3 linked regions of the Arabidopsis thaliana genome follow. Each later gene encodes a partner of the first gene's protein in a complex. Each region holds a gene or a part of one and is shown in the gene's direction. Other genes may lie near its edges.

Evidence for each region. Proteins that work in one complex are often made in the same cells at the same time.
Region 2: AT4G01310 (region 1) and EMB3126 share a complex: the UniProt entries of both Arabidopsis thaliana proteins name them as parts of the 50S ribosomal subunit.
Region 3: AT4G01310 (region 1) and emb2184 share a complex: the UniProt entries of both Arabidopsis thaliana proteins name them as parts of the 50S ribosomal subunit.

The regions. Positions count from the first base shown.
Region 1 is NC_003075.7:542,147-548,329, reverse strand, and holds AT4G01310 (Ribosomal L5P family protein), read left to right. Parts: upstream 1-2,763; 5' UTR 2,764-2,849; coding exon 2,850-3,095; intron 3,096-3,383; coding exon 3,384-3,584; intron 3,585-3,669; coding exon 3,670-3,812; intron 3,813-3,965; coding exon 3,966-4,164; 3' UTR 4,165-4,419; downstream 4,420-6,183. Other genes in the region: ATSTE24 (Peptidase family M48 family protein), read right to left, coding at 69-161, 248-310, 391-501, 596-709, 855-953, 1,040-1,105, 1,202-1,297, 1,384-1,468 and 2 more; AT4G01290 (chorismate synthase), read left to right, coding at 5,048-5,118, 5,206-5,313, 5,427-5,629, 5,969-6,165. UniProt on the Arabidopsis thaliana protein: Binds 5S rRNA, forms part of the central protuberance of the 50S subunit.
Region 2 is NC_003074.8:23,441,707-23,448,224, forward strand, and holds EMB3126 (Ribosomal protein L1p/L10e family), read left to right. Parts: upstream 1-2,496; 5' UTR 2,497-2,562; coding exon 2,563-2,892; intron 2,893-2,966; coding exon 2,967-3,146; intron 3,147-3,238; coding exon 3,239-3,293; exon of another isoform or gene 3,294-3,554; coding exon 3,555-3,682; intron 3,683-3,809; coding exon 3,810-3,893; intron 3,894-3,962; coding exon 3,963-4,088; intron 4,089-4,176; coding exon 4,177-4,314; 3' UTR 4,315-4,624; downstream 4,625-6,518. Other genes in the region: AT3G63480 (ATP binding microtubule motor family protein), read right to left, coding at 36-127, 209-428, 508-583, 737-770, 854-895, 972-1,065, 1,138-1,163, 1,246-1,368 and 4 more; TTA2 (fibronectin type III domain protein (DUF1423)), read right to left, coding at 4,625-5,190, 5,363-6,518. UniProt on the Arabidopsis thaliana protein: This protein binds directly to 23S ribosomal RNA.
Region 3 is NC_003070.9:28,269,439-28,274,878, forward strand, and holds emb2184 (Ribosomal protein L31), read left to right. Parts: upstream 1-2,632; 5' UTR 2,633-2,724; coding exon 2,725-2,793; intron 2,794-2,883; coding exon 2,884-3,249; 3' UTR 3,250-3,571; downstream 3,572-5,440. Other genes in the region: AT1G75340 (Zinc finger C-x8-C-x5-C-x3-H type family protein), read right to left, coding at 30-252, 333-418, 525-617, 718-795, 891-1,108, 1,220-1,313, 1,404-1,499, 1,604-1,698 and 2 more. UniProt on the Arabidopsis thaliana protein: Binds the 23S rRNA.

The DNA.
Region 1 (6,183 bases):
CATAAGACATGATTTCTTAAGTGAAATGTAGATGTGAGTAAGTTTTTGAACTGTCGGTTGAGCCTCACTTGAACTGCAATGAACGAGTATGTAGTGTGATTCAGTTTCCAATGTCCAAGCTCGTGTGCAATAACCGCCACAATTTCATCCTCATTCTTGCACTGCACAATAGAAGATTATGTTATGTTTCAGAACCAGAAACAGAAATGTGAGTATAGCTCGTTTGAAGCATCAAGAGTCACAGTACCTGCTGAATCAACGTATCATAAAGAACAATCCTTTTGTTCTTAAAGAAACCATACATGTAAGCCTGTATGATGTAACAAGATACGTAAGCTTCTAATGGTAAACTAGAGTAAAGTAGGTAGGAAGAGATCTCAAGCTTCTCACATTGCTATGGCTTGACCTTGTAGATCCATCGACAACAAACAGCTTCTTCAAAGGAAACTTTAGAGAAGAAGCAAGTTTCTCAATCTTCTCCCGGAGGTCTCCATCTGGAAGCTATAGCCATAAAAAAGCGGGAGATTATATTGTCTGGTAACAACATATGCAAACAAGCAGTGAATTGTAAAATGGCCATGACAGAAATACACACAGGAGTGAACTTGTTGAAGAGCGGTGCTATCAAGACCGGGTATATAGTCATCATCACTAGAGACAGGATAAACATGAATGCCCACAGATAGATGGCAAGATAAGGACCTCCTTTCTGGAAAAAGATAGAAACTTCATGCTCAGAGAAGCAAATTTTAAATTTTTAACACGAAAACTAAAAACTTTGAAGCTCACACTCAATGGAGAATAGTCATCCATGTGAAAAACTCAGAAATAAGATGAATCCAGAATCATCAAACCTGGACTATGAAAATTATCGCAGCAACAATGGGTGGGCCTAGTATGACAGAGAGGAATGTTCCTTTGATCATGTCCCTAATGAACATCCATATTGTTTGCTGTCAACAGAATTTAGAAGCAAATTTAATCCACATCTCTGATAAAAAAACGTAAGTCACAAGGTAGTGTTGGAAATACGACATACTTTGTTGAACCCATGCCGAGACTCGATCACGAAAGTTGAGTACAAAGAAAATGGCAAATCAGTGATCTGCATCAGAATATAAAAGAAATATTATTATCTTAAGAAAATAGATATTTTGATGCTAAACGTATAGGACTATATGAAGGGGTTTATTTGGAACACCTGTGACCATGTCATAACACCAGCCAAGAATGAAAGAGTATGCAGTATTTCATTCTCTGGATCAAGGCCCAACCTCGGTAAAACAGCTCCAGACATCTAAGGTAAAAATGAAAACTTTACAATTGTAATGTAACAACTCTATATTCAAAATGAGATACTGTATACCGAAACCAGATATGTACCTTCCAAAACCAAGGCAAGATCCCAAAGAACAAAATTGCAGAGTCCATAAGTATAGTTACAAACTCATGAACAAAGTGAAAATAGCTGCATATATTAAAGTTCTCAGTGATGATATCCCCTGGCAATTATAAAAAACTAAAATGATATAAATATGATCAAGACGAAACCTTTTGTCAAGACTGTATGCTCGTGATTTCTCAAACTTCTCTTGGCTAATTACACCAACCAAGGTTTTCGGGAGAGTTGGAAGCTTGAGAGCAGTGAGTTGCCTCAGATCCAAATACGTCTCAAAAATGTACATCACTATCATAAAACCTGTAAGAAAAAGAATAAAACAGAAGATGAAATACGAATCTACTCTAAATGCCACAACAACAGATACTCCATCACTGAAAATTCAATAACATCATCTACTTTTTTGATCAACCAGATATAAAAAGATCTCTTGTGCTGACTACTGATGGAAACATTGGAGCACTGAAAGAGTTTTGATGCAACATTCACATACGGTTCCACAACACAAAACCCATTTCAAAAAACTCCAGAAAACTCTAGTTGCAGTCACGAACATAATAATACCCTGACAAGAAAACCCAAAACCTCAAGCTGTATGACTTGAACAAAGAAAAATTTCAAGATTCTCAATTTCCAATCGGGAATGAGGAAAAAAAAGACTCCGACTTTTCTTCCCAAATCCTAGATTTTGGTTAACAGAGAAGCTCCGTACATTCTAAAACCGAGGAAGAGATGATGAAATCACATAAGCTCAAATCAAATCAAACGCACGAGTAAGACAAGAAACTAGTAGGAGTAATAAAACCTCAGATCAAGGTACGCACTATTAGAAAAGAACAAAATTTAGAAACGAGAAGCAGAGACGATGGTATATGAAACAAACGAGTCATGGAATCTCAACACACACAACACAGAAAGCAAAACCCAAACAAAAACGAAATACGATGAGTGAAACAGGATAGTAAAATGTCTCAGAAAAAGGTTTTGAAGCTTACCCACGACGGTTTCCATGAAAGGAATCGCCATGGCTGAGAAAAGAGTGACCTGAACCGCGATGAAAGCAGAAGCAAATCGAAGAAAGCAGAAGCAAATCGAAGAAAGCAGAGGAACGACAAAAGAGAGGTTTTTCGTTTTTGACTCTTCTCAGGTCGGTGTGGATATGTAAAACAACAAAAACACGGGTACGGGTTATACCTTAGAAGCCCAAATAGTAAACGGGCTGAGATTTAGGCCCATATGAAACAACCCCTATATTTTATCTAAAATCTCTAAGTATAATAGTATATTATCAAATATTGGGGCCTTAGTTGAAATATTATGTTTTAAAGGGGCTAAACGGAAAACTCCTTATCCTCAAACTGTCAACAAATTACGAAGGTGCCATTGGGTTTAATCAACAACGAACGCCGAGAGCTCTCACTTCACACTTTATCCACTTGGAGCTTCGACAATGGCGTCTCCTTCGCTTCTGCAGTCTTCCGCTTCTTCGTTTCACGGACGTTTCTCACCATTAGCGGCTCCATCCTCCGCACGAATGCTCTCTCCGCCGCTCAGAAACGTGGTGAAAGTCTCGGCGTCTGGAACTGTACTGGTCGAGAAATCTGAAGCCGAGAAAACTCAACGCCTCAAAACCGCTTACCTCGAGAGGATTATCCCTGCGCTCAAAGAAGAGTTCAAGTACGTTAATATTCACCAGGTAACCCCAAATCCTTCCCCTCTGAGCTCAAACCTAGTTTTTGTTCTGTTGCGATTGATTGAAGTCTAATTCTCAGTGAATTCGAATTTTTTGAGCGAATGTTAAACCTAATTTGCTTTTAATGATAAGTTTGAATTGATTTCTTCTAGAAAATGTAGTGAAGAAGCCTAGATTTAAGATTGTTGTGTTGATAAAATCGTGCTGTTGGGATGTGCCATTTACAAATGTGAATGTGAATTTGTCAATCTCATCATTGTTGTATATCTGCTTGGACATCTTCTCTACCAGGTTCCAAAGGTACAGAAGATTGTAGTGAATTGTGGTATTGGAGATGCGGCGCAGAACGACAAGGGTTTGGAGGCTGCGATGAAGGATATCGCGCTTATCACAGGGCAGAAACCTATTAAGACACGAGCTAGAGCTTCCATTGCTACTTTCAAGATCAGGGAAGATCAACCTCTTGGGATTGCTGTCACTCTCAGAGGAGATGTGAGCTATATTTCTCTTGACTAATCAAACTTTCCTTTTGAGTTATTTATGTATTAACATTTTGTGATTTTGACTGTTGTGACAGGTAATGTACTCCTTCTTGGATCGTCTTATCAACTTAGCCCTTCCGAGAACTCGAGATTTCCAAGGTGTGAGTCCCAGTAGCTTTGATGGGAACGGAAACTACAGTATTGGTGTGAAAGACCAAGGTGTATTCCCTGAAATCAGGTTAGTTCTATTGTATCTACCCTCAAAATCAAAACTACTAACTTGTTATCCGCTGGTTCAACAAGATCAAGCATGGTTTCTCTTTAGTCCCACTCTTTGTTTACAACCGAGCAACTAAACTCTATGTTGGTTGGTTGGTTTATTACACTCTAGGTTTGATGCCGTTGGAAAAACGAGAGGAATGGATGTATGCATCAGCACAACGGCTAAAAGCGATCAAGAAGGACAGAAACTATTGGCTCTAATGGGAATGCCTTTCAGGGAAGGAGGTGGTGGCAGCACAGGCGCGATAGTGCGGAAGAAGAAACTAAAGTCTCATCACTTTGATGCTAAAGGAAAAGGAAAGAGATGATGAACATAGCTGCCTATTGTATGTATCGTCTTCTGTAACCAACCATTTCATGTTTCAGAAAAACCATCTCCTTTTGTAATGCTTTATGAGTCAATTTGAAAATAATATCAGGGATCTTGTTGTTATGGTAAAAATTTATCAAGGTTTTTCTGTAATTTATTGAAAGTTTTGTGGATTATACAAAATGTAGCGCGTGAGTGAACGTGAAAAGCTAGCGCGTGGATTTGTCAATTTTACCTTCCCCTTTGAGAGAAATCGCTCTTCTTTGTAAGACTTGGTTTCGATCTTCTCTTTTTCATCATCAATCGATCAAAACAAACAGCAACAGCAAAATTATCTTTCTGCAGATCGAAACCCTAATTGGTTTCTCCGTTCTCCTTTTGTTCTTCTAGAATCGGCGACTCTTACTTTTTTTTCTTTCTAATTATCCTTTTCTGATGGATTCTGGAATCCATGTAATTCCCCATTAGCGCTAAAAACCCTAGCTGTCGAAGACCTTAGATTACTGCAGAAATGTTATAATCTGTTTTCATCTTTTCCCGATTTGAGGTTTTTATTTATTTTGGTTGGGTGAGAGAATCCGATACGAGAGATTAAAGCCTTGTGAGTTTAGGATGAGCTAGTTTTCTTTGGCTTTGAGCTGTAATTTCTCTTCTCTGAAATCTTTCACTGTACATATAGCTAGATCCTGATGAAGTTGCGTGGTGGTGAATCGTGGTTTAAGTTTTGCTAGTTGAGATATTATTGGTGGTTACTGTAATATCGAAGAATCATATTTCACGGTATTTACTATAGACAACTACTGTAGAGTTACTTGATTAAGGCGTTAAGAAGAGATACTGGTGTTTTTTGGCCTCAATCAGCTAAGATTTTTGTGCATTGTATGATGAGTATAGCAAATGAACAACAATTTGCCATGGATCAACTTGTCGAAACCAATGATGATTCGGAAAAGTATGTTTTTTCTGTTTTTTGTAAAATCCATGTCTCTGTTTTGCTGCTTATTGTACATTTCTCAGCTGCAGTTGCAATTGTTTTCAGGAAACCAAGAATTACATACACGAGGAAGTTTCTTATATCCTTGAGCGAGAAAGACGTTTGCAAGAAGCTGCCAAATCTGCCTGGTGAATTTGATGAAGCACTGTTGCTGTGAGACTCTATCCGATAGTTTTTTTTTTAGTTTGGATTTCTAGAAACTGTGTAAATGTGTTTGATCATGTTGGAGTGACATGTCTTGATTTGTACACTCTTTATTTGAGTAGTGACTTCGAAGATCCTTCACCCGAGCGAGCAAGAATTTCAGGCGATTTTTCGTCGCATGGTTTCAGGCGGAATGACTATAGTTCATCGCCTCCCACCAGGGGGGAATTAGGTACTAACTCTCGAGGCACCCATGGAAGATGGGAAGGGCGCTCTGGTGGATGGAATGATAAAGATAGTGATTCACAGTCAGACCGGGACTCAGGTAGCCGGAGCTTACTCGTATCCTATTCTTTACATGCTGTATGATGACGTTACTACAGTAACAAGGTGGACTAGTATTCTGAATAGTTACCTTGTTGTTATATATGACCTATAAAATACTCCTACGAATTATGTCTTTCTGCAAAAAAGTGTTCATTATTATGATTTCAACTCTATCCATCTGGCTGTTCAATATGCGTAAATGTAGATTTCCACCTTTTTTTAACTAAAGTGAATGGCATGAAGTCTGCTTGTCTAGTGAACATGAAAAGAAGGTCTTTTCGAAAAATTCTGGAATTTGGGTGTATTATAGTTGATTTGGAACTGTGTATTTTGTTAGGAGAGCCTGGAAGGCGTTCTGGTATGCCATCTCGGAGGTCTTGGCAAGCACCTGAGCATGATGGACTTCTTGGGAAAGGTTCTTTCCCTAAGCCTTCTGGATTTGGTGCGGGAACATCTGCCCCTAGACCTCAATCTAATGACTCACATCAGCTGAGTAGAACCAATGAACCTTACCATCCTCCTCGCCCATACAAGGTTAAGTACCCAAATATC
Region 2 (6,518 bases), on another chromosome or scaffold:
AGCAAGAAACCGTTACTGTGCTCTGAGATGCATACCTCATGCCAAACCTGAGAGTTGAGAGCGTCTCAGATGCATTTAAAGTGCTTGGTGAGCAACAGCAAAGCAGCGCCATTCGAGAATTTCCACCCTGTGGCATGAGAGACCACAATAGAATTGAGAACAAGCTAGAAAATTATAAAATAAAATCAACCTGAGAAGATATACTAACCAGGGCATCCTGTAAGATGCGAGTAAGCTTGGAGTCACGATATGGTATGTGATTCCCTTTGCTAGATGGCCCACTAGTGAGAGCGTTTATCACGTTCCCCAAGGCTGAGAGCGATTTATTGATCGTCTTCGCTTCTTCAAGAACCCTACCTTCTGCTCCAGTTTTGTCTGCTTTCTCTGAGCCAGCCAGGTCGACAAGAATCAGTTTTCCTGTTTTTACCCTGTTCACATGCCAGATATGTATATAAGCTCCACCACTACAGCATCACTTTTTTCTGATTAATTGTAAAAAATCGTTACCTTTTATCTTTAACTGAATCCTGCTGGATTGTGAACAAGTAGGCGCAGTGGCTTCTACTGCTGGACATATTCATTTCTGTCATTCATTGTTAAACTGGAAACATTCTTCAAGATGACTCTCAATCAGTTTTAACCTTTCAGTCAACTCGGAGTAGCATAATCATAATCTCACTATCGACTAAATGGGGAAACATTGAACAAGTAAGTGCTGTAAAAGCTAAGAGGATACGGGTTTCCCCAACTGCGCGGTTAGCTAAACCGGTCTGAAATGGCAATTGGCATCAGAAATAAGAAAGAAGAAGGCCGTATAAGGCAATTAAGAAACTTAGGGTAGCTGCTATCTTACGCATAGATGTTGTAATGCCTCCACCGAATCTGATACAGGCACCTGAAGCAACGAATGATTAAAACTTGCCTACCCAGTAAAGATTTTTCTCAACACTAGCAAATAGAAGATATAAGACAATGAAGCTAGCCTCTGTAACGCCTGACAAGAGTATTCCTTGTGTTTTGTTCTCCTTGATCTGTATGTTTGCTTTTGATAAGTCCAACAGGTCCCTGAGAGATATATGAATTTATCGATAAGCTATATACCCTAGAAGAAATCAGAGGGAATTACATACACAATACCTGACTTTCTCCATGTAGATCTCAACCTAGAGGAGACAAAAGACACGTAAGATGTCTATACAGGAGAGCTTGAAAGGAGACTTATAGCAAGTGCATTTAAGTCAGTACCATAGACAATTTAACAGTGTATCTTGCAATATCATTGGAAGAGCTGATTTGCTCAAACATCCCATGGACCACTCTTGGAAGAAGTCCTTTATTGTGCTCATCACAGTCCTGGATGCCTGGTCCCTGAATCAATCGAAGAAAACCAAAATGAGCCAGAAGAAGGAATGGTCCTTGTGCTACAGGAAGAGGTATCAAGATGAGTTAGGTGACCTCCATGGAATAAGTCTTCCCAGCCCCTGTCTGCATAGTATAACATGAAACGATCAAATTGAGATCAAAATCTGCCAAATTAAGAAAAAGACATTGAAAGCATTTCCAGATAAAAGAGATCAGGAGAAGAACAAACCTGTCCATAAGTGATGATTGTTCCGTTTATACCATTTACAGCGTCTGAAAGTAGTAGTAGTAGTACAAAGGTAAAAGATGCAAAAGACAAAGGTAGGAGGAAACCAAAACCAAAAATGTTGATTACATTGTAAAATCATAAGATTGGTGCTCAAATGTTTAGATCTAAAATCCAGAAGAGAAGATCAAGGAATCAATTAGTACCTCTCATGATGGGGAGAGCCAGAAACTCATAAACCGCAGCTTGGGTAGAGTCCTCATAAAAAACTCTATCGAGGCTAAATGTAAATTCATCTTCCTTGTCATCCTACACGCAAGTAAAAACGCTAGATAGAGTTTGAGAGACAGAGAGAGAGAGACAATATTAATCAAGCACACGGCGTCGAGTAGACAAACTTGGAAAACGAAGGTTTCAGCGTCGATGGGTCGAGCACAGACACCATCTCTGCTGGGATCGCGCATCTCTTTAGAGCTTCGCGGCCTGAATCGCGCACAGACGGTTACGTTAGACATCTCCTCTCCTTATCGGAACGAGCTCAGTCTACAGTGAAACACCCAAAATGAGTCAGCAGAAGATGAATGAAATTGGGGAAATAGTAGCACAGGAAATTTGAAGCTGAGAGAAAAGGAATCGGAACTTACCTCTCAAATGGAGTGGAGAGTCAGAGTAGGGTTTCTCTTACGGGCGGGAAAGAAGAAACTCGAAATCTGATTTTTGAGAAAAGAGAAGGAAGAAGAAGAAGGAGAAGGAGAAGAGGTCACGAGGATACGCGTGTGGGTTGTTAAAAGATCTAATGGTCCATAAGAAGACACGTGTCACTAGGAACACGGTAGCTAAGGTGCCCGCCACGCAGAGAATAATAGCTTAGAAAGAATAGGGGGTGTTGTTATCCCCTTGGGCGTGGAGTGGATTAGGGAGACTCGCACTCTTCTTCTTCTTCTTTGTACCCAGAAAGAAAGAGAGCTCCAACAATGGCTGCTTGCGCTACTCACTCCTCTCTCATGCTAGCATACGCCGCCGCATCCACTCGTTCCCAGGACCTTACCCCTACTCCATCTCTTTTCTCTTTTGCCAGCTCCAGACCCAACCACTTGAGCTTCCCGCTTCTTCTCCTTGGGGGTTCCAGGGACCGGAGATGTGCTGCTATTGACAGAGCTTCCAACCACAAGTTTATTGTCTCCGCCGTGGCCGCTGAGGCTGACCTCGACACGGAGGAGGACCTGGAGCAGACCGCCACCGCCGTCCTTGATCCGCCCAAGCCTAAGAAAGGAAAAGCCGCTTTGGTTCTCAAGAGAGATAGAGTATGTGCTTTACCTACTTCAATTTCGCTTCCTTTACTCGTGAATCATCACTTTGTTTGCTTACCCATTGACAGACAAGGTCTAAGAGGTTTTTGGAAATCCAAAAGCTAAGGGAAACCAAAAAGGAGTATGATGTCAACACTGCTATCTCTTTGCTTAAACAAACTGCCAACACAAGGTTTGTTGAGTCTGTTGAAGCCCATTTCCGTCTCAACATCGATCCTAAGTACAATGACCAGCAGCTGCGTGCAACGGTCTGCTTTGCCTTTTGCTGGATATACACTCTATCTTGTGCTGCTTCATTCCACAACATTTTTTAATCTCAATGCATTGTCTTTTTGTATAGGTGAGCCTGCCTAAGGGAACTGGCCAGACTGTTATAGTCGCTGTTCTTGCACAAGGTATATTGCCCCACCAAATTCACTGCTAGGACTTAGGACAGAGATTATGCTTTACCATTTCAGTCACCAAATTCACTGTTAGGACTTAGGACAGAGATAATGTTTACGGTATCAGTCAGTCAGTCAGTACTTCTCTAGATGCAACATTGTTTGGTGCGATTGACTTTTTATTTATATATTGATTGGATGGAGTTCTTGTGTATCATGTGGCTTATTCTTTCTAAATCTTTGGCTTGCACCATTTCCATGCTGAACTTCCAGGTGAGAAGGTTGATGAAGCCAAAAGTGCAGGGGCAGATATTGTGGGCAGTGATGATTTAATCGAACAGATTAAAGGAGGCTTCATGGAGTTTGACAAGCTGATTGCATCCCCGGATATGATGGTCAAGGTATGTGTTGATGATATAATGTTCTACTTGTTACAGCATATGAAACCGTCATGCTTGGCAAATAAGGTGGCATGAGATACTTGTAACTCGTGATCTATTTTCTAACATTCTTGAACTTGGCGCTTAGGTTGCTGGCCTGGGAAAGATTCTTGGACCACGGGGGCTCATGCCAAATCCCAAGGCTGGTACAGTCACAGCGAACATTCCCCAGGTAAGCCTACTCTGCAACATCTTTTCCTGATTCTGGTAGTCATGGCTTAAAGATGCATAAATCTCTCAGGCTATTGAAGAGTTCAAGAAGGGGAAAGTTGAATTCAGAGCAGACAAAACTGGGATTGTTCACATTCCATTTGGGAAAGTTAATTTTACAGAGGAAGACCTTCTCATAAACTTCCTTGCAGCAGTGGTAGGCTAATTCTCCATTCTTATTACGTATTTCTGTGGTTTAAAATACAAAAAAAAATGAAGAGGGAAAAGTAAATGATGAAATGCAGAAATCGGTGGAGACAAACAAGCCAAAGGGAGCTAAAGGAGTGTACTGGAAAAGCGCTCACATATGCTCGTCAATGGGGCCTTCCATCAAGTTGAACATAAGAGAGATGATAGACTTCAAGCCTCCCACTGCGAACTAATCGACAACGCCATTTGTAAATGGGGTCCTTTTGGGAGACGGGCAATGCCAGTGTAGACAGAGAAGAGAAACACCAAGTCTAGTCTGTTAGTAATCTTTTCACGCCTCACTGCTTTGTATCACTTTGATGGCCATTTGCTTCTTGTCGTTATTTATTTACTATTGCCTATTAAAATTTGGCAAGGGGCTGTACATGTCAGGACGCAGAACTCTTTAGTACTCTCTAAAAGAAAAGACCTTACATTGATCTTTAGGTTACATACGAGGAGGAGGTTTCTGTGTACATTACATGTGATTTACTACTACAAATATTACAAGGCCAGACTCTGCTTCGTCATTTCCATTTTGGTGAGAAGCCCTCTCATCTCTTCCTCCATTCTCATCTTCATTTCATAAAACTCTCTCTGCCCTCTCTGCATTGCCTCTAACTCCTCGTACCTCCTCCTCCTTCTCTCCTGTGCATCCTCCATACTCAACTTCCCCATTCTCCGATTGTACTCTTCTTCTATCTTCTCCTTCTTCGCTATTGCTATTCGTTTCAGTCCCTCTGCTTCTCTTCGTGCATCATCGGCCCGCCCTTGGAACATTTCTGCCTCTGCTTGCTTCATTCTCACAATGCTCTCTAGCTCTTCGAAACGAGGTTCCTTTGGTGAACCCCTTTCCAACTCCATCTCCACTGCACATATTTCAACTTGCCTCTCTCTGTGGAATGCATCAGCTACGCTCGCTGACCTTTTCAGCTGATTATGCGGGTTATCTGAGCACACCGATCTCAGCCACGCCGTGTCCTGACTAGGGCTTCCCCTCTCATGCCTGGGTTTTGGCTGTTCGTATATGAACGGTGCACTAGTTTCAGCAGGAGTGGAGGAATCACAGTCTGCAATCAACAGGCAAAGTATCGACAGATTGTTACAAGGAATATCTATGGCACATATATCACAAGAATTTAACCAACATGTGTTCACTGTGTGATCATCTATACTAAAACAGACTAATAAAGCCATATTTGATACCCAGATAAAGCTCACAATTTATACAATTTCGCGCACCTGAAATGAAACCCAATATGCGATTGCAAGCTTCAGGAAGGCCTATCAATTTACTTTTCAAACTTGCCAGCATCGCATCAGCAGCTTGTCTCAGCTGTTTCCCTCTAGAGTCTTTGCTTGATGAAAATATTTTATTGACATACTCCAGTTCCTTGCAAAAGCGCTCAAATTTCCATTCCCTTGCAAAATTCAGAAACACTTCTTTGACAAAGCCAAACATCTCTGAGGGATGGTTACAGGCAACACAGTGAAATTGCATCTCGGTCATTCCTGGAGCACCAGAAGCATTGATCCCATTCCGGATGTAAGACTCTTTTATCCCACAATCTGTGTGGCACCAGTGTAGGCACACATCACACCCAACCCAGCTACAGGTGTTGGATGCCATATCAAAATTTGAGCACACAAGACACATGCAAGCACTACAAAATCCATCCTTCCTTGAACAAACCCTGCAATCGCATTCGTCCACAGGCAACAGAACCCTACAAGAAAGATTTTTGCATCTCATGTTCATGAAAATCTCAGCTAAATGGGAAGACGAGATGCTGTTGTCCAAAAGAAGGAAATCAGAACGCCCAGATTTCAGTGCGACCAAGATCTCCAACTGAGCGCGATGAGATTTTGTAAGCAATTCCAGTGTTATATCAGTCCTGTTCTGCAAAGCATCTTGAAAAGCACCAAGTTGTACATTCTTATCCATGTTCAGCATCATCTGCCGAATGTTTTCCTTCAGGCTAGTGATGTTTCGAGTGGGCATTTCATGAAATCTCTTGGTCATTACAGGCATCGAATCGGAGAGAATGTATCTGATGACGGTCTCAACAAAATCATGCCCACCGGCTTCCAGCCCAGTTATCCACGAATTACTACCACTGTAAAAGTCCTTGGCCGTTTTCTTCTCAACAGTAAACTTTGAACCATTTTCAAGAGAGCCCGTTCTTGGACATGCTGATCTAACATCAACACTTTTCTGGAAACTCAATTGTTTCTCAAGTATATTTGCTGCCTTAGAGCTCCCATCGGGCAATCTAAGATGCTCTTCATCAGCTTGACCCGAAATTAAATTGCCTTTCATTGCTCGAGGTTGAACTGAACCATTTCCATTTTCCATCAGTCTTTGATAGACTGTATTCTCATTGTACTTTGAATCATT
Region 3 (5,440 bases), on another chromosome or scaffold:
AAAAACCTGGAAACAGATTGAGGACTTACCCGGAAGATGTATTTGTCGTGTTTATAGCAGGAGCAGTAAAAGATGCAACAGGGACATTGAAGTTGAATGCGGTCTGATTGTTCTGGGAAGTGTTTGTAGCCGGTGTTGGAGTTGATTGACCAAAGATGTTATTGTTTTGTGGAGTTGTGGCAAATCCGGGTCCAGGTCCAAATGATGCTGGTTTGAATGTTGTTGATGGATTGGTTTGGAAACCAGAGGGACCTGTGATCATTTGCAAAAGAGGTTTCAGATGATGGCGAGTCTCTTGGCCTTTAAGCAAAGTTTAACATTAGAAGTAGTACCTGAAGGAACAGGTTGAGGAGTGTTGACGCTGAAAGCATTTGGTTGTTTATTAAAGCTTGCAAAGGCATTCGGAGGTCCAGATGAACTATGTAGAGGAATCATTGGCCAGAGAGAAATATGGAAACAGAGTTTTCATGAAGGCACCCCTTTACGGAATTTGGAAAATGGAGAAAGCCCACAAAAGTTGATACCTGAGACCACCAGCGTTGGTATTGGAGAATGCAGTTTGTTGATTATTTGATTGTTGAGTAAAGCTTGCAAAGGGGTTCGGAGGTCCAGATGAACTATGCAGAGGAATAGTTGGCCAAAGAGAAATATGGGAACCAAGAGGTTATAAAGGTAACACAAACTTGTTTGAATATGGAATATGGAGAAAGTTAGTACCTGACTCCACCAGCATTGGTATTGGGGAATGTAGTTTGTTGATTGAAGCTTGCAAAGGCATTCGGAGGTCCAGATGAACTATGTCGAGGAAAAATGGAAACCGAGAGTTAGTTTGAAGGCAACACAAACTTTTTGGGATATGAAAATTGGAGAAATCCCACAAAAGTTGATACCTGAGTCCACCCGCATTGGTATTGGAGAATGCAGTTTGTTGATTAAAGCCAGAGAATGCTGGAGAAGGGGAATTGATCTGACTGGACTGAGGGAAGATACTAGGAGTGGTTGCAGCAAACGGGCTTTGATTGGCGGTAACAGAGCCTTTGTATGGATTCCGTAGAAAGTTTTCAAACTCGGCTATTTTGGAATTTTGCAGATTCCTCTCCCTTTCAACCTATATAATGCACCATAATAAGCCAGGAAAAGAGGAAATCAACTTATGTCTTATCAGTATGAAATGAAAACCAGTGTAAAGTATAACAAACACAAGAAAGGTTAATCTCACAATCGACTGTAGAGGTATTCCTCGTTTAGCTTCTTCATATGCCACTGCACGTAGTTCTTCATAGCTGATATCACCGGTAACATCACATGGAAAACTAGAAGAAAAAAAAGATAGAAAAAATCAGACACGTTTATAAAGAATGGATAAAGATCAAGGATGCTAAACCAAATGAAGTAATACATACTATTTCCAGTGGCCGTAGCATGTGAGCTTCCACATGGGTCTCTCATTCTTAAAATCGTCTTGCATTACCCGCTTACACGCAGCAGGATCTGTGCATCTTTGTATAGTAACCAAGAGAGAAACAGTAAATTTCCAAAGAAACAAACGGCTAAAAGGATGATAATTGATAGAACAAGCATATGTAAACATATATACACTCACTTATGATCTGCCGGCTGCGTCTGTTTACCAGTCTGCTGTGTAGAAGCAGCAGCACCACCACCAGTAGGTGTAGAAGCCGTTCGTGACCAAGTATTCTGATTTGCAAAAGCATCATCATGTCACCATTCATTCAACAGGCAAAATGCTTTCGTTTCTTAAAGAAGATGCACCATTTTTCTCATCCAAAGCCGAACGATAACTTGCATTCTATCAAAGCAATACTTGCATCTTAAAAGAGGAAAAAAACAAATTGACCTGGAACTGATTCGGTCTGCTGGAACCACCACTTTGTACACCAAATCCAAAAGGGTTCGAACTATTTTGTTGCTGCTGCTGCTGTTGTTGTTGTTGGTTTTGTGTACCAAAGCCAAAGGGATTATTTGGCTTAGCTTGTTGTGGATGAAGAAATCTACAGTTTTCCCCATACCTACAACTGCAAAAACAGCACAAAGGACGATGAGTCCAATAATTACGTCTCTAAGCTTCTACTATCACTAATCATAACTTCCGAAGCAAATCAACCCTCATTAATGGCGGAAACGAAGATTAGAATCTATCAAAGTCAATAAACTGTATGATTCATTTAGATTTCAGCTCAATAGACATCGTTTTCTAACACATTACCACCTTCGCACATCGATTGATTTCAAATTAAACCCCAGAATATAGAACACGAAACCTAAACTTCAGCAATCGAAACAAACTTCAAAAACTCTTATAAAACAACAAATTGAATCAAAACAAAAACTAGAACAGATGAAGAAGAAGATGATGATGATGAAAAGAGTATTTACCTGCCACGCTGAAAGTTTCTACACAGTTCCTTCCTCATACTCGCAGCTAAAACCTTCGAACTGTGTACGTATGTGCGTATATATATATGTAGTTTTGCTTCTCTCGAGAAAAATGAAGAAGCGTTAGATTGACGAAGAGTGTATCAACAGAACAAAAGGAAGTCTCTATGTAAATTACCATATTACCCTTACATATCTTCAAAGTATTTAGGGTTATAAACGTAACTCCAATACACTTCATCATCCTCATTCTCTTATCCATCAATCGTTACTTCGTTTCTTCTCTATCACCAGGAAAAAAGAAGAAGATAGCTCCTGAAGACAAAAATGGCGGTTTCTCTCCCGAACTCGTTTCTTCAGATTAGCCCATGTGTTCCTTCTCTGCAATTAAGAAAGGTAAGCTCGAAATCGATTTCTCATTCTTCGTCTATTTCTCCTCCTTCCCCAAAATCACTAAATTTGTTTGTGTTTTTTTTTCAAAATTAGCCGGTGATGGCGGCAGTGAAAGGAGGAAAACAATCGGTGAGAAGAAGCAGCAATACGGTGGTTCAGATAACGTGTCGTAAGAAGGAATTGCATCCTGAATTCCACGAAGACGCAAAGGTTTACTGCAATGGAGAGCTGGTGATGACTACAGGAGGAACAAAGAAAGAGTATGTGGTTGATGTATGGTCAGGTAACCATCCGTTTTACCTCGGGAATCGTTCGGCTTTGATGGTTGATGCTGATCAAGTTGAGAAGTTTCGTAAGAGGTTCGCTGGGCTTTCTGAGATTATGGAGATTCCTGTGCTTAAAGGAGAAATCATTATGCCTACTAAGAAAAGTAAAGGTCCCAAAGGGAAGAAGAAATGATGAGTCTTTTCTGGTAAAGCTTATGTCTTTGAATTTGTTGTCTTTTCAATTGAAGTCGAGATACTGCTTAGGCTGTTAAAAATTGTATGTGAATTTTCTTCTGAATGCTATTGGTTATGCTTTCTTTAAGATCTATTTGGTTTCATTGAGAGTGAGACTAGGATCTCAGAGCAATGATACAAGTAGTAGCGAATCTCAAGGACAAATCTTTAGCTTGTGAGTTTGGCATGAATTTGTGATGGATAATAGATAGATATACACTGGTGAGAGAAACATAGCAACAATGCCTATGAAATGGTAATTGCAAATGAAAGAAAGGTTGTGGCTTTTGCCACATTTTGTGATAATCTTGGAAAGTTATGGCATGAGATTAATGACTAGTGTAGGTAGTTGTTGTTGATGTGTAAGTGGTGTGTTGATTAGTTGATTGAGATCATTTTTACATAGATTTATAAGATGTTGAACATGATGATCATGGTCTATGTAAGTGTCTGCTGAAGTTATCAGGCAAAACATTTGTCTTCTGACGACGAAGTGGCGTACTAATAGTGAGCAGATTCTTGAACTGTGGCCATGGCGTAGGAGTATGTTTTGCTTGAGAACATAAAAGAAAATTTTTGGCACTTGAAGTTGAAGATTCTGTGATCATGCCCAATTGTATACTACTACTGAATTTGTGTGACCAATATTGAACAGAAACAGAATACTCCAGCTCAATCAGAGGTTTTACCAATATCAAGCCAAACCAATATCAGGCCGTCTCAAGCCCATTTGAAGACAGTCGAATGTGTGGGCTATTTTAGGCCCATTTCCTCTCAGCTGGAGTCTTCTGCTTCTTAACTAAGCTACCAAAGTTTTCACTGAAGTTCAAAAGGAAAACCTGTGGGCTTTTTAATCCGTTAGTAAATTGGGTTTTGACATCTCTACATACTTCATATGCTGATCGATGCAGTTGAATCTGAATAATTGAGTTAAACTAAATTCATTCGTTGGTTGAAGTCTTAGATCCTTTCTTATCAATGATTTGCGATCTTGACTAAAATTGAGTCTTAAAATATTATCTTAAAGACTTTAGACACACAAAAAGAAGGTGTTTTAAGATAAACTAATGGTCTCCTGTTTCCTAGCATAAGATTGATGAAAGACGCTGTGTTGGGTTAGTTAAACTATATGTCTAACCATATCTAATTAGTTTGTTAATTATGTTGGAATAAATACAATGTGTTGGATTAAATAAATTTTAATTTTGCTGGGACAAATACAATTTAAATGTTCGTTGCGTTCATTTGTCGAAAATAATGCACTTCGTATGTTTGTTTGTTCGGGGACAGTTATCTGACTCTGTTGATCTTTCCAAATCAGCCTTTGTCTGCAGTAAACACTAATAGCTCCCTCAATTTTATAATAATTATGAATTAAGCTATTAACTTAATTAAAATATTTGCATATATACCCCCCTATACTATGTGTATTGTGTAAAAAGTCCTGTTAGGGCACATGACTCATCTTATTTTCACGTGGTTCTCGACCATTTTCCTGTTATTCTTTTGTTCGGGATCCACGAACCTCGTTAATGTGTGGATAAGTCTGTTATTCTTTTACTTTGACGGCGCGTGACTTTCACGTGTATTCTTAAAAAGATTAGTGGGCTTCTCATGGACTAGTTTAGATAAATCCATATCCATGTAATATAATCAACTTTATCCTCAAATATGAAGTCGAATATTGCGTTATATCTGGCATCGTTAAATTATAGTAAGTTGAAATATGTTCAGTATATTCTATAGCAAATTCAGTATCTTTAAGTGGATCAGTCACTTTATCTTCGTGCAAGTTTCTATATAGTGAAAATATTGTTTCGATACCACAATTAATTAGTTATGGATGGCAATTAGTAAACAAACTAATCATTGTTTTCATAGGAAGAGAGACAAAACAAACAAAGTATTCTCTAGGTTCTTTTCTAAATTTTGAATACTAAAGAAAACCAAAAGAACCATTACTATATGTTTGTACTATTATCATTGGTTGGGTGTCCAAAAAGCAAAACCATAGTATAAAATTAAATTGTCAAAAAAGAGTCATTAAATTTTAACTTATTGAGGATATATAAAAAGACTAGTCCTGCGATCGTATTTCCGTATCAGTGTCAGTGTATCTCCTTCTTACAATAAAATATTTTCTCTCATTT